2 linked regions of the Xenopus tropicalis genome follow. The protein of the gene in region 2 purifies or fractionates together with the protein of the main gene of each other region. This does not show direct contact. Links are inferred from orthologs where the notes say so. Each region holds a gene or a part of one and is shown on either strand. Other genes may lie near its edges.

Region 1 (4,087 bases), on a different chromosome or scaffold from region 2:
TCTCTCATACATACACACACACTGACAGTCTCTCATACATACATACATACATACACACTGACAGTCTCTCACACATACATACACACTGACAGTCTCTCACACATACACACACTGACAGTCTCTCACACATACACACACTGACAGTCTCTCACACATACATACACACTGACAGTCTCTCACACATACACACACAGACAGTCTCTCACACATACACACACACTGACAGTCTCTCACACATACATACACACACTGACAGTCTCTCATACATACACACACACTGACAGTCTCTCACACATACACACACTGACAGTCTCTCACACATACATACATACACACTGACAGTCTCTCACACATACACACACTGACAGTCTCTCACACATACATACACACACTGACAGTCTCTCATACATACACACACACTGACAGTCTCTCACACATACATACACACTGACAGTCTCTCACACATACACACACAGACAGTCTCTCACACATACACACACAGACAGTCTCTCACACATACACACACACTGACAGTCTCTCACACATACATACACACACTGACAGTCTCTCATACATACACACACACTGACAGTCTCTCACACATACACACACTGACAGTCTCTCACACATACATACATACACACTGACAGTCTCTCACACATACACACACTGACAGTCTCTCACACATACATACACACACTGACAGTCTCTCATACATACACACACACTGACAGTCTCTCACACATACACACACTGACAGTCTCTCACACATACACACACTGACAGTCTCTCACACATACATACATACACACTGACAGTCTCTCACACATACATACATACATACATACACACACTGACAGTCTCTCACACATACAAATACACACACTGACAGTCTCTCACACATACACACACTGACAGTCTCTCACACATACAAATACACACACTGACAGTCTCTCATACATACATACATACATACATACATACATACACACACTGACAGTCTCTCCCACATACACACACACTGACAGTCTCTCACACACACATACATACATACATACATACATACACACACTGACAGTCTCTCCCACATACACACACACTGACAGTCTCTCACACACACATACATACATACATACATACACACACTGACAGTCTCTCCCACATACACACACACTGACACACTCAGACTGGAACATTTGTGTCACTCTCCGCTTTGCCCCGCCTCCCCCTCTCTCCGCGCCTCGCAAGCCCCGCCCCCTTCCGTCTGCACGTCACTCTCTCCATACTTGGCGATGGCTGCAAGGCCGCGCTGTGATTGGCAGTTAAGCAGGGCCGTGGGTGTGGCTCCAACTTCGGAGCCGCTGACCCGGATGTTCACTCCTAGGTCCTAAGGAAGTGGAGGCGCCGCCGGGCCTACGGGGCATAGCGACTAGGAAACGGAGCCGAACCGGAGCGCAGCCCCGCCCCACCGTGACCCCTCCTACCGCGTCCGGCTCTAACCCACCGCAGCCATGGTAACAATCGGGGGAAGAAGGGGGGTGCGGGAGATGCGGGCAGGGGGTCCGGGCAGGGGGTGCCCCGCTTAGGGCTGACGTCACGGGAGCCGTTGTAGTTTGGGGTGCAGGGCCCCCCTCCCCTCCAGGGGCCACATGTACCGGCAGCAGCTCCCCTGTGTGTGAGGGGCCCGGCCCTGTAATACTTCCCTTTCCCCGCTACCCGCCGCCTTCCCTGCACTTCTGCCCCCCTGTGTATCTGCCCCCCTGTGTATCTGCTCCGGGCCGAGCGGCTGGTATGGGCAGGGTGCCGGGCTACTGGGCCGGGATCAACCTAACCGGGCTGTCACTCGGGGCATTTGGGCTAAACTGTGCCATTGGCCTGGGGCAGGCGGGGTGGCTAGGGGGTGTGGCCCTCAGTGTGCCTAGGCCTGTGCCACTCATGCCAGGGGTGTGTGGGGTCTGTGCCAGCCTGGCAGCTGGGTCAGGGGTTGGCAGGGACACAACTGGGCCCCTTTGCTTAAGCACACTTGTGGGGAATGGGTGTAATGGGGATACCCCTGAGGGTGGGAGCAGTGGGCAATTCTGTAGGTAGGGGCTATGCCAGTCAGTGCAGGGAACAGACCTGTGGGTAGAGGGTGGGCAATTCTGTAGGTGGGGGCTATGCCAGTCAGTGCAGGGCAGAGACCTGTGGGTAGAGGGTGGGCAATTCTGTAGGTGGGGGCTATGCCAGTCAGTGCAGGGCAGAGACCTGTGGGTAGAGGGTGGGCAATTCTGTAGGTAGGGGGCTATGCCAGTCAGTGCAGGGAACAGACCTGTGGGTAGAGGGTGGGCAATTCTGTAGGTGGGGGCTATGCCAGTCAGTGCAGGGAACAGACCTGTGGGTAGAGGGTGGGCAATTCTGTAGGTAGGGGGCTATGCCAGTCAGTGCAGGGCAGAGACCTGTGGGTAGAGGGTGGGCAATTCTGTAGGTGGGGGCTATGCCAGTCAGTGCAGGGAACAGACCTGTGGGTAGAGGGTGGGCAATTCTGTAGGTAGGGGGTGTGCCAGTCAGTGCAGGGAACAGACCTGTGGGTAGAGGGTGGGCAATTCTGTAGGTAGGGGGCTATGCCAGTCAGTGCAGGGAACAGACCTGTGGGTAGAGGGTGGGCAATTCTGTAGGTGGGGGCTATGCCAGTCAGTGCAGGGCAGAGACCTGTGGGTAGAGGGTGGGCAATTCTGTAGGTAGGGGGCTATGCCAGTCAGTGCAGGGAACAGACCTGTGGGTAGAGGGTGGGCAATTCTGTAGGTGGGGGCTATGCCAGTCAGTGCAGGGAACAGACCTGTGGGTAGAGGGTGGGCAATTCTGTAGGTAGGGGGCTATGCCAGTCAGTGCAGGGCAGAGACCTGTGGGTAGAGGGTGGGCAATTCTGTAGGTGGGGGCTATGCCAGTCAGTGCAGGGAACAGACCTGTGGGTAGAGGGTGGGCAATTCTGTAGGTGGGGGCTATGCCAGTCAGTGCAGGGAACAGACCTGTGGGTAGAGGGTGGGCAATTCTGTAGGTGGGGGCTATGCCAGTCAGTGCAGGGAACAGACCTGTGGGTAGAGGGTGGGCAATTCTGTAGGTGGGGGCTATGCCAGTCAGTGCAGGGAACAGACCTGTGGGTAGAGGGTGGGCAATTCTGTAGGTGGGGGCTATGCCAGTCAGTGCAGGGCAGAGACCTGTGGGTAGAGGGTGGGCAATTCTGTAGGTGGGGGCTATGCCAGTCAGTGCAGGGAACAGACCTGTGGGTAGAGGGTGGGCAATTCTGTAGGTGGGGGCTATGCCAGTCAGTGCAGGGCAGAGACCTGTGGGTAGAGGGTGGGCAATTCTGTAGGTGGGGGCTATGCCAGTCAGTGCAGGGAACAGACCTGTGGGTAGAGGGTGGGCAATTCTGTAGGTGGGGGCTATGCCAGTCAGTGCAGGGCAGAGACCTGTGGGTAGAGGGTGGGCAATTCTGTAGGTGGGGGCTATGCCAGTCAGTGCAGGGCAGAGACCTGTGGGTAGAGGGTGGGCAATTCTGTAGGTGGGGGCTATGCCAGTCAGTGCAGGGCAGAGACCTGTGGGCAATTCTGTAGGTGGGGGCTATGCCAGTCAGTGCAGGGAAGGGACCTGTGGGTAGAGGGTGGGCAATTCTGTAGGTAGGGGGCTATGCCAGTCAGTGCAGGGAAGGGACCTGTGGGTAGAGGGTGGGCAATTCTGTAGGTAGGGGGCTATGCCAGTCAGTGCAGGGAAGGGACCTGTGGGTAGAGGGTGGGCAATTCTGTAGGTAGGGGGTGTGCCAGTCAGTGCACGGCAGAGACCTGTGGGTAGAGGGTGGGCAATTCTGTAGGTGGGGGCTATGCCAGTCAGTGCAGGGAAGGGACCTGTGGGTAGAGGGTGGGCAATTCTGTAGGTAGGGGGTGTGCCAGTCAGTGCAGGGCAGAGACCTGTGGGTAGAGGGTGGGCAATTCTGTAGGTAGGGGGCTATGCCAGTCAGTGCAGGGCAGAGACCTGTGGGTAGAGGGTGGGCAGTTCTGTAGGTAGGGGGTGTGCCAGTCAGTGCAGGGCAGAGACCTGTGGGTAGAGGGTGGGC
Region 2 (4,181 bases):
TACCTTATTAACATTCCCCCCCACTTCATAAGTGTACCTTTTTAACATTCCCCCCACTTCATAAGTGTACCTTATTAACATTCCCCCCACTTCACAAGTGTACCTTATTAACCTTCCCCTTACTTCATAAGTGTACCTTATTATCATTCCCCCCCACTTCATAAGTGTACCTTATTAACATTCCCCCCCACTTCATAAGTGTACCTTATTAACATTCCCCCCCCACTTCATAAGTGTACCTTATTAACATTCCCCCCCCACTTCATAAGTGTACCTTATTAACATTCCCCCCACTTCATAAGTGTACCTTATTAACCTTCCCCCCCCACTTCATAAGTGTACCTTATTAACCTTCCCCCCCACTTCATAAGTGTACCTTATTAACCTTCCCCCCCACTTCATAAGTGTACCTTATTAACATTCCCCCCACTTCATAAGTGTACCTTATTAACATTCCCCCCCACTTCATAAGTGTACCTTATTAACATTCCCCCCCACTTCATAAGTGTACCTTATTAACATTCCCCCCCCACTTCATAAGTGTACCTTATTAACATTCCCCCCCCACTTCATAAGTGTACCTTATTAACCTTCCCCCCCCACTTCATAAGTGTACCTTATTAACCTTCCCCCCCACTTCATAAGTGTACCTTATTAACCTTCCCCCCCCACTTCATAAGTGTACCTTATTAACCTTCCCCTTACTTCATAAGTGTACCTTATTAACATTCCCCCCCACTTCATAAGTGTACCTTATTAACATTCCCCCCACTTCATAAGTGTACCTTATTAACATTCCCCCCACTTCATAAGTGTACCTTATTAACATTCCCCCCCACTTCATAAGTGTACCTTATTAACATTCCCCCCCACTTCATAAGTGTACCTTATTAACCTTCCCCCCCCACTTCATAAGTGTACCTTATTAACATTCCCCCCCACTTCATAAGTGTACCTTATTAACATTCCCCCCCACTTCATAAGTGTACCTTATTAACACCCCCCCAATTTCTAAGTGTACCTTATTAACCTTCAACCCTCACTCAGATAACATTAAATAAAACCGCAAGATACAGTCGGCTGTCACTTCCTCTTACACCCCCAGTTGTCCCTTGCCGTGCTACACAACATGTATGTAACCTTCCCTACGCACCATGATATCTGAGAGAAGCCATACACGCAGTTGTCACATACCTGCACACACATACTAGATAGACAGTTGTGTGTTTATCCCATCAAGCACAATCCCAGTTGCCACTTACTTTCACTCTCCATGGGTCGCGCCGTATGACGCACAGCCTGTGACATCATGTCACCTACCAGCTTGAGAAGGGGATGGTTTTCCACGCCTTTGTGGCGGCTTGACGTCATCCAAGTGCGTCCGGGAGGAGGTTAGCAGGAACCTGCCGTGGGACTGGCGCGTCGCTCGCATGACGTGTAGGGGCCTCGGTAATCTCCTGTGCGAGCCCTGGGAGCGCGGTCGTGAAGTGACAGACCGGCAGCGGCCAGACTTATCTTAGGTAGGGCAGGGATAGTGTCGGGCTGTGAGCCTTACAGAACGGATACGGAGCAGTGGGATGGCACACACACACACACTGGGCACAACCAGAGGCGGCTGTATTGTCTGTCACAAGCATCAGTAGGCATTGGTGCTTAGCGCACATACCGTGACTATGGGCCAGTATCCAGTCGGGGAGCCTCCAGCTCGTTCAATCACAAGGGACGCAGAAGGGATACTTGCACCTGAACAGCTTTTATTGGCAGCTGTGTGGCGAACCCCTAGCTCGTAAACTACATTACCCAGCATCCTTCATCAGCCAAAGGATACGCTTCAGCAACAAGTGCAGCTGGACATCTTCCTGTCTACCCCGCAAGACAGTTCAGGGAGACCTGCTTCTCCCCATTCATTTCTGGCTTTTATTAAAGGGGCAGTATACCCCCTTGTTCATTATGATTGCAATGAATAGAACTTGTGCTGATCATACTTTTTGTCTGTTTTAATCAGGAAACATTTATTGTTTTTGATGTTTTCTGTGCTAAACAGTCAACTGAAGCTCATGCATGTTTTGTGAGGCAGATCATTATCAGTGCACAAAGGAAATCCTGCCAACCTGTAAGCCAAACTAGACATAACAAAGGGTGATGGGATGAGGGTTGTTTATACAGAGCTCAGTATATCTAGATAAACTAACTCATCTAATTAATGGTAAGAGAGTAAGCATAGGAGAAAACAAATGCTTCATTTCTGATTTATTATAATGTTATCACTAAGAAATATGCAATTTTTTCAGTTGATATGTTCAATGATATGCTGTATTATTTGCATATGTTCTATTTATTTTGCTAATGTTGTATATTGGCATATACTGCCCCTTTAACACATGATCTGCATAAAACATGGTCTGCATCCAGGGTGGCACCTAGAGATTCTTATGTATAGAACTCTGGTATGGTCACTTTCCAAGAGTTGTAATAATACTGCTAGCCTACATTATTACTACCCAGTTGAAGCCTAACAGTACCAGCTGTGTTCATTATCTCTGCTTAGTGATGGGCCAGAAAGCTCAGATTGCTGGGCCTTGCTGTATAGAGCACTAAGGCAAAATAGAATTATGCTACTCCCTAAAGAAGCCACAGTGTTGACTTAAAAGATGGCTTTACAACTATTACCATGGGTAGAGAGAAGAAATATTCTATTTATACACTTTTGTGCTTCAACCACAACTTCCCCTAACTCATATTAACAATGGATCACCATATATGGGCAAAATACAAAAATCAATTTTTGGGTAATGTCATGGACCAAACACACTCCATAGTCAGAGGATCCCCATTCCTAATATAAAATGTATTGCACAAAGTGCATATTGTTCAAAAGGTGGTGGCATGCACATGGGCCACCTTTCCCCTTTCTTGGCATTTCCTGATATGTTCTGCCTGCTAGTATTATACCGGTATATTATTTTTTATTTGTTAGTAAAATAAAAACTATTCTTCTTTTAATTTTAGATTTAGCAGCTGATTTCGGCCTCGGCCTACCACCTATGAAACCCTTTAATAGCTAATTGCAAAATTTTGATGCCTGCCTCTGAGTCAGTCCCCCAGACCCACTATGCCAGCTGCAACAGTGGACCTCAGCCAGCGAATTTGCGAAGTCTGGGCTTGCAACCTGGATGATCAAATGAAGAGAATCCGCCAAGTTATACGCAAGTATAATTATGTTGCAATGGTATGTTTAGGATGTTTGTTTCCCCTCCAAAAATGTTTTTCATTTTTGAAATTGGCATTAAGAGTTCAGGAATATTTAAGATTTTATAGATTTTTGAGTCTCCTCAAAGGGGAACCTATTTACTGTTTATAAGCAATCCTTGCTTGCAGTATCTGCCACACTGCTTCCGCTGTCAGGGTAATATTATATCAACTATAGACTCTAATGGCCCAATGTTTCGTGTGACATAACAATAATAGAATAATTAATTTACTTTAATATGCAATATAAGTACTTGTTTACATTAAAATATTAATATTTTTTTTGTCCAGTACAATGGGTTCGGTTTATATTGCAGTTATAATTTTTCTAGTGTGTAGAAACAAGTCAGGCTGCTTACTGCACTTATTTGTTAAAGATATTTCTAAGTAGAACTAAAGCCTAAAAAAAAAGAATATGGCTAGAAATGCTGTATTTTCTATTCTAAGCTAATTGTAGCAGCTTTATGATAGTAAAGATCCATGGGCTCAACTGCTAAAGGTGTATGGTGGCCATGGTCTGGTAAGGTGCCTGCCATTGGGTAGGCTAGGTAGCAACTAAAACTCTTAGAATAGTGGCACACGGTGCTGTTTCAGGGACTTTGATTAACATATTTTTAAAGGAGAACTTTACTTCCGGATGGCACTCTTTGCCTAGACCCCCCCCCCACCTCTCCCATATCGCATTGTTTTCAAGTTTACACTCTGTCCCTATTGCTGACTGCTAGCTAAAAATGCAGACAAGCGCAACCGCGTACCTCGCCAACATCTTACCGACTGAAGACTCTTTGGGTCTCACAGCCGACACCTAACCTGCTTGAGAATGCGCAGTTGAAGCAGATTTCCTGCTACCTACAACTACTCATGCGCAAGCAGGTTCGTATCGGCGGTGAGACCCAAAGTGTCTTCAGTTGGTAAGAAAATGTCGGCCAGGT

The links. Proteins that work in one complex are often made in the same cells at the same time.
Region 1: the proteins of cnot7 (region 2) and capzb purify together in Homo sapiens (co-immunoprecipitation; 3 studies listed by BioGRID and IntAct, with this or other methods). This does not show direct contact. The link is inferred for Xenopus tropicalis from reciprocal best matches to the Homo sapiens genes CNOT7 and CAPZB.

What each region holds. Positions count from the first base shown.
Region 1 is NC_030683.2:129,971,442-129,975,528, forward strand, and holds the start of capzb (F-actin-capping protein subunit beta), read left to right. Parts: upstream 1-1,277; 5' UTR 1,278-1,511; coding exon 1,512-1,514; intron 1,515-4,087. UniProt on the Homo sapiens protein: F-actin-capping proteins bind in a Ca(2+)-independent manner to the fast growing ends of actin filaments (barbed end) thereby blocking the exchange of subunits at these ends.
Region 2 is NC_030677.2:42,300,000-42,304,180, reverse strand, and holds the start of cnot7 (CCR4-NOT transcription complex subunit 7), read left to right. Parts: upstream 1-1,377; 5' UTR 1,378-1,520; intron 1,521-1,527; exon of another isoform or gene 1,528-2,206; intron 2,207-3,009; 5' UTR 3,010-3,112; coding exon 3,113-3,229; intron 3,230-4,181. UniProt on the Homo sapiens protein: Has 3'-5' poly(A) exoribonuclease activity for synthetic poly(A) RNA substrate. Its function seems to be partially redundant with that of CNOT8.